Caenorhabditis elegans: one gene and its partner. The protein of the gene in region 1 purifies or fractionates together with the protein of each later gene. This does not show direct contact. Each region holds a gene or a part of one and is shown in the gene's direction. Other genes may lie near its edges.

What was found.
Region 2: the proteins of manf-1 (region 1) and znf-207 fractionate together in Caenorhabditis elegans (co-fractionation; one large-scale study listed by BioGRID). This does not show direct contact.

The regions. Positions count from the first base shown.
Region 1 is NC_003282.8:2,926,942-2,930,251, reverse strand, and holds manf-1 (Mesencephalic astrocyte-derived neurotrophic factor homolog), read left to right. Parts: upstream 1-1,830; 5' UTR 1,831-1,833; coding exon 1,834-1,903; intron 1,904-1,965; coding exon 1,966-2,090; intron 2,091-2,162; coding exon 2,163-2,307; intron 2,308-2,374; coding exon 2,375-2,541; 3' UTR 2,542-2,735; downstream 2,736-3,310. UniProt on the Caenorhabditis elegans protein: Inhibits endoplasmic reticulum (ER) stress response. Retained in the ER under normal conditions and is up-regulated and secreted by the ER in response to ER stress and hypoxia.
Region 2 is NC_003282.8:11,308,866-11,312,794, forward strand, and holds znf-207 (BED-type domain-containing protein), read left to right. Parts: upstream 1-2,106; 5' UTR 2,107-2,134; coding exon 2,135-2,175; intron 2,176-2,227; coding exon 2,228-2,354; intron 2,355-2,411; coding exon 2,412-2,637; intron 2,638-2,686; coding exon 2,687-3,001; intron 3,002-3,053; coding exon 3,054-3,193; coding exon of another isoform or gene 3,194-3,241; exon of another isoform or gene 3,242-3,274; intron 3,275-3,294; coding exon 3,295-3,471; 3' UTR 3,472-3,653; downstream 3,654-3,929. Other genes in the region: DnaJ homolog dnj-2, read right to left, coding at 3,849-3,929.

The DNA.
Region 1 (3,310 bases):
TCGTTATGAAAATCAGGTAGTCTCAGCATTTAAGCAGCATATGTATCATGTTTAAGAAAAAATTTAGGTTTTGTATTCCCGTAATCCATTATATTACAATGCCCACTTTCACCGCTGCTTGCCCACTGAATACATGATTTTTTTACTTGGAAATTGTTTTAGCATCTGCAAAAAATATTTATTTATCAGTTTTATTAAGAAAAAACGAAAAAAATCGATGAAAAACGAAAGAAAACAGGCGGAAAACAAAGCAAGATAAATGGCCGCTGAAACTTATCGGCCCCTTGGCCATGGCCTAGAAACCACTTTTCCTCTTCCCTCGTGAGGAAAATGTTGCAGTGTACAATGCAAATCTGAATTTCCGAACAATTTATATGCGGGCAGAGCTGTAAAATTTTGGTTGAACCTATAGTGAGAATCTAGTGAGATGAGTCCAATTCTACCACACGGGCAAATCTTTAAACTAACTTTGAAAAAAAGGGAAAAAATTTTAATTCCCGCGTCAAAAATTTACACAGAAACTTGAAATATTTACCCCTAAAGATTTTTCTCAGAAGGCAAACTTTACGACACAGTTTATTTGCGTTGGGACGACGGACTAATTTTTCAAACGGTGTAGAAAACTCGGCCACCAAAAAATTTTATAATGGTCAAAAAGTAACCTGAAAATTTTCAAAACTAATTTCATTAAATCCTGCCAATCTAATTTTTTTCTTTGAAAAAAATTATTTATTCGCGGCCGCGCAGAAGAAAACTCGGCCACCAACTTTTCGAGAACCCTCATATCAGCAAAAAAGAATACAATGTTTTTAGAAAAAAAACTCACAACTTTTCTTCGACTGAAAAAAAACTGTTAAACTAACCTCAATGTTCCGATATTAGTTTTGCGATGACGTGGCATTAAATATAATAAAAATGTGGAATTTGTTAAAAACTAAAAATTTCACGTAAATAGAACCGAGTTTATCAAGAAAGTTCACGAATATGTTCTGTTGAAAAACTTAGTTTTAACCGTAAAAATTCCAGGTTTTTATCAAGATGTGCCTATTAATAGAATATATTGTGTTCCCAACGCGAACTGTGCAAATTTTCAGACTACAGTACCCCTCTACAGTAGTAGTTTTGAATTCGAAATCGCTTTTTCTTCTTTTTAGTGTTTTCAAATCGAATTTTCTTGTAATTCTTGGATTTTTTGGTTCTGGAAATTCTGGAAAACCCCCTGAAAATGGTACAAAACCTATAATACAAGAAGAAAGTATTTTGATCGATGCACCATGACCCGATCTCCACGGGAACCGCCAAATCGACTTTAAAATCCCTTCCACGCGAGACCTGAATTTCGTTCTGGACCAAGAAAAGATTTTTTAAAAAATCTGATTTTCAAACATTTTTATTTTAAATTTTGCGAACCTGTAAAAAGTGAAGTTTTATGCAAATTTTCATGTTTCCCGCGATCTTTAATGCTAATTTTAGTTGGAAAATACGATTTTCTAACTATTTTTGAGGTTTTCTCAATGGAAAATATCGTTTTTCACTGCGAATCAGCCCGAATAAATTACAAAATTAATTCCAAAAGTCAACGTTAACGCTGACGTCCACATCGAGAAACGCGCCAAGGAGAGTGCTGACGCGCCCGCGGTGCGCGCAAACACGTCAGCTTATTTTCTCGAATTGCGTTCGCTTTTTCTCTATTTTCTCTCCGTTTTTTCCGCTTTCTTTTGTCTTTTTATTCTATTTTTCTGCATAATTTGTTGGTTTTTTTTTTCAGTTTTCCCGCTATTTACACTCTCAGAGCCCTGAAAACCCCGTAATAATCCCTGTTTTTTCCAGCAGATGAGCCGACTCGTCCTTCTCATCTCCCTGGTGATTGTCGTCGCCTCGGCTGCTGCTCCACAATGTGAAGGTTTGTAAATTTGAGAAAGCTTAATTACTTAATTATCTAATAAAAAATCGCGAAATTTTCAGTCTGCAAAAAGGTTCTGGACGATGTGATGGCAAAAGTGCCGGCCGGCGACAAATCCAAGCCAGATGCCATCGGAAAAGTGATCAGAGAGCATTGTGAGACCACTCGCAACAAGGAGAACAAATTTGTAGGGGATTTAAAGATTTAAATGATTTAATCTAATTTTCCTTTAAAATTTTTAATTTTTATCCATTTTCAGTGCTTCTACATCGGCGCACTCCCAGAATCGGCCACTTCCATCATGAACGAGGTCACCAAGCCGCTCAGTTGGTCGATGCCAACGGAAAAAGTCTGTTTGGAGAAGCTCAAGGGCAAGGATGCTCAGATTTGTGAGCTTAAATACGGTTCGTTTGGCGCATAATCTCGCTTTTAATCAAAAAAAAAAAATAAATAAATCCCCAAATTTCACAGACAAGCCACTCGACTGGAAGACGATCGATTTGAAGAAAATGCGCGTGAAAGAGCTGAAAAACATTCTCGGCGAGTGGGGAGAGGTGTGCAAGGGATGCACCGAGAAGGCCGAGCTCATCAAGCGCATCGAGGAGCTTAAGCCGAAATATGTCAAAGAAGAGCTGTGATTTTTTTTTCATGCCGTTCTACATGTGATAATCGTGTTTTTAGCGTGTGTGTTTTTATTGCAATTTTACTTGTTGAAATCTATTTTTTATTAATAATAATTTATTTATTGATTTCCCCCCCCCCCCTTAATTTTTTCGTGTTTCATCATCATCTTCCTCCCACTGGTCTGGTCAAATGAAGCTTTTTTCCCTGATTTTCCCTCAGTTTGCCAATTTTTCGGTTCTAATCCGGTTTTTAATAATTTATTTTACCTTTTTTCTAGGTTTTCCAGGAAATAAATCAGTTTAAAAATGTGATTTTCGAAGATTTACGGTCGAAAACTGGCATTTTTAGGCTGAAAATATCGATTTTCACCTTAAAAACCTCCAAAAACCAATTTTATCGATTTCGAAACGTTATTATTGATGGAAAATACGTAAAAATGGAAAATAATACCCATTTTCAGCTTTTTCAACGCCGAAAAATCAATTTTCGGCGATATTTTCTACTAAAATTACCGAAAAATGTGATTTTTCCGCAAAAATATGCGATTTCATAACAGTTTTCGTTGGGAAATGCACAGAAATCCAATTTTTCTAAAAATTTCGCAAAGGAATTGATTTTTTACTTAAATTACCGTTAAATTTATACATTTTTAGTATAAAAATTAAGATTTCGCGTGGATAACGAGAATTTACAGCGTTTTTTTGCTGAAAATATCGATTTTCTCGAATTTAGCGTTTTCAAAATGCTCAAAACGTCGAAAATTCAGTTTTTGGCATTATTTTT
Region 2 (3,929 bases), 8.4 Mb from region 1:
GCCGGAAATACTATAAAAGCTCTAGGTAATCTAGGCGTTCACACGATTAACAATTCGTACCAAAATTAAAATAAAATAAAATGAAATAAGGCTCTACAGTATGCTCAGACATAAATTAAAAACTTTTCTAAATGCATATCAAGAAATTCCTGACCATAAATAATTTTTTAAAAAAATCAGCTCCTTTAATATATCTAAACTTCTTACATATATCTAAAGTAACTCAATAGTAGTTAAATCTTACCAAAAAAAAGTTAAAAATAATTGAAAACTCTCGCTTACCGTCCGAGTTGATTTTAATCACATCATCCTGATAAACGATTCGAAATCAATATCTTGAACTTTTGTTCCGTTTCGTTTTCAGGACGATGTCATATCTAGATCAACTCAAAATATCATAAGAATAAATAAAGAAAGCAGTAAAGTGATGTAGAATGAAACGAACAAGTGAACGGCCCTTCCCATTCTAAGAGGTCCTTTTATTGGCGCCATGTGTAATAGTGTAATAACTAAGAGACACTGAGAAACAGGTGGATGAGAAAAGGGCGCCGAACCGACTGGCTCCGCCTACTTTTCGGAAGATAATGTGCTCGTGAACGGGGAGTGGGGACGAAAAGGACGGAAGAAGAGAGGAACGGAGGACCAGATGAACGATGATGACTGCCGAATCGAAGGGAACAAAAAGGACAGATTTATATGCGAAGTGGCAGGAAAATTGAGGGGTACGATACAATATGGAAAAAAGCTAAAGAAGAAAAGAAGAAGAAGAAGCAAGGTGACGGGTGGCCAGAAAAAATAGTATGAAAAAAAGAAAATACGAATACCGTATTTCATAAATTGGAGGTAAATAACTATTTAATAGATTTTGTCTGAATGAAACTATAATACTCATAAATGAACAGTATAGCACTTTGAAATGTTTTAGATTTTCAAAAAAAAATTTGGACAAAGTTTCGGTAAATTGCTTTTTCTGAATATATAAATAATTTGAAAATAATTAGAATGGGAAAATTGTAGTTTTATTTTGTAGGGTGATATCCAAATTATGAGTGGCAAAATCTGAATTATCGTCACTTTATTTTTTTCTGCAAACTTTATTGAAAGGTTAGCAATGTACGATACTATATCGTTTTGGCACTTTTCAATATTTTTGGAAGCATTTTAACTTTTATTTCAATGGAATATGAACAATTTAAAAATAAAATTGGAAGAAACCATTTTTTTTTATCAAAAAATGATTGGTGAAAACTGTGTGTTTCAAAATTGTTAATATTCCACTTTTGAATAAGTAACATTTCAAAAAAGTTGATTAGAAAAAATTAAATTGTTACAAAAAAACGACAATTCCAAAAGTTTTGTAAGTTCCTGAAAAACAATTGCAAAATTATTAAGAGCACAAAATGCTGAAATATGCGTTTTTAAATAGTTATGTGTGTCCTTTTGTAACAACTTAATTCAAAATTAATTTTTTAAAGTGTTTGATGTGCAATACTATTATAGAATACCTTCAAGGATGCCGTCATAATAATAAAAGTAACTTTTTTGTGTTACTCAAATATAGGTTACGGTAGCTCCACGGGCATTTTAATGACAACTTACATAAAACTTCTAAACAATAAATTCGAATTATCGATCGGATTTATTTCACTCGACTTCATAAAGTTATAGAAACTAGAAGAATCATTACGACTTTAAAAAATATCCAAACGATTTGTACATATGCAATTGCAATTGTTAAGTATATATCTGATTGAACAGTCAGTTTTTTTTTTCTAATTCTGTGGTATACGTTTCAAAATTGTACATTTCCCCTTTTCATTCCTCCATTTATTGTAATAAATTTGAAAAATGTCTCTTTGTTTCGATTCAGACAAGCTATTTGCAAACCATGGTAACCGTTAACAACGGCAGTAAAATAAGAGGAAAAGTGCGCGGCGGGCTTGCAGAGGGCGTGTAACTCCTCCCCATAATTCGTGCGGGACTCTGCAAAATTGAATTTTCTTGTGCGCATGCGTTCCTTTCGAAGAAATATTTTAACTGGTTTTTACATTTTTCTCCTAATCGAGTTTTAAAATTAGTTGAATTATTCTTTTCTTCCTATTTCAGATATAAATACGTAGATTCTCCATCAGAAATGGGTAGAAAGAAGAAGAAGGTCGATAAACCATGGTGCTGGTGAGTTTTTAAAATAATTGTACTGTTCTTGAAGTTAAACTATTCAATTTAGGTATTGTAACCGAGAATTTGACGATGAAAAGATTCTGATACAACATCAAAAAGCCAAACATTTCAAATGTCATATTTGTCACAAAAAATTGTTCAGTGGTCCAGGATTATCGATTCACTGCATGCAGGTTAATTTTTTTTTGTTCTTGAAAAAAGAAGTCATTCGGTAATCCCACGAATTACAGGTACATAAAGAAACTATAGACAAAATACCGGCAGCTGTACATGGCAGAGATAATATCCACGTTGAAATTTACGGAATGCAAGGAATTCCGTCTGGCGCTTATCGTGGAGCAGCTGACGAAGAACCGGACGAAAAACGATCAAGGATGGACAATGGACCACCTATGCCAACTCCTATGCCTTTCCCACAGCATTTCCCATTTCCTGGAATGCCTCCTATGCCGTCGGGTGCGGAAAACATATTTAAGTTCCATTCTAAAAACGGTTGATTTTTTAGGTCCACCACCACCGTCAATGGCATACGGAATGCCTCCAATGCCATCTGGTATGATGCCACCTCGCGGGATGCCAGGAGCTTATCCTCCGCCACGTGGATACCCTCCAGCGCCAGCTCCTGGCGTGTATATGCCTCCGCCAGGAATGCCTGGTGCATATCCTCCACCACGTATGCCAATAGGTCATGGACCACCTGGTGGCCCACCCATGCCTGGTCCTCCTCAAAGAAGCCGATTTGATCAACCTGACGGCGGAGACAGGTGGGGTCCACCAATGCGAGGAGTACCACGGACGCCACCATATGAAAACGAGCATGGTGAGTTTATGGCATTCGTAAAAGCTTGATTTAGCAAGCTAATAAATTTCAGAACATCAAGATTATCAAGCTCCAGATGACTACAATCAAGGAGGATACGATGATCGGTTTAGAGAAGGTGATCGTGGAGGTCCACCGGGAGGTAGCCGATTTGATCAAGTGAAAGCTGAACTAAAGGAGGAAATCGTCGAGGTATATTCCTTGATTTCAAATAATGGGATTTCGATCGAGCTTTATTGATATTTCATAAAATAAAGTTAAATAAAACTTGTTTTTAATTTTAATATTTTAAGCCTAACAACGGTCCACCAACTACGTCTTCTGGTGCAGCTGCCGCTTCTGCTGCGGCAGTAGTTGCATCTAAACTTGGCTCGAGGACAAGAATAGTCTATCCAGATGATCATTCGCTGTCTCTAGAGGAGCGTCGTGTAAAAATGCTCTTCGAAAAACGCAGCAATCCCTATCACTGAGCACTTCCGAATCTCTTCTTCTTTCATGTCCCGCCCATTTACCTTATATTCTGTGTTTTACTGAAAATTGTCCTCTCGTCCATGTTAAATTATTGAATAATCCATCGATGGGTTTTTATTTTTGAAATTCCAAAAAAAAAAAGCAATTTTTATCAATTGAATAAATTATCACCCACAGTAAAAAAAGATTGAAAATGAAGAAAAAACATCAATATTGGTAAGAAAGAAGTAGATTATGCTCGCAAACTCGGAGAAACATTCGAGTTAAGTGAAAACATGAAATGCTATAAAAATTTGATGATAAAACAGCTGCATAAAGGAATAATAATTTAGAAAGAACGAGTTATAAAATGCAATAAGTAATTTTTAGTAAATATTTAATCTTCATCGACAAACGAAATAGTTCCCGCGTTTTTCATATATCTCTTATACCTTTTGTACCGACCCGATTGAGCCAT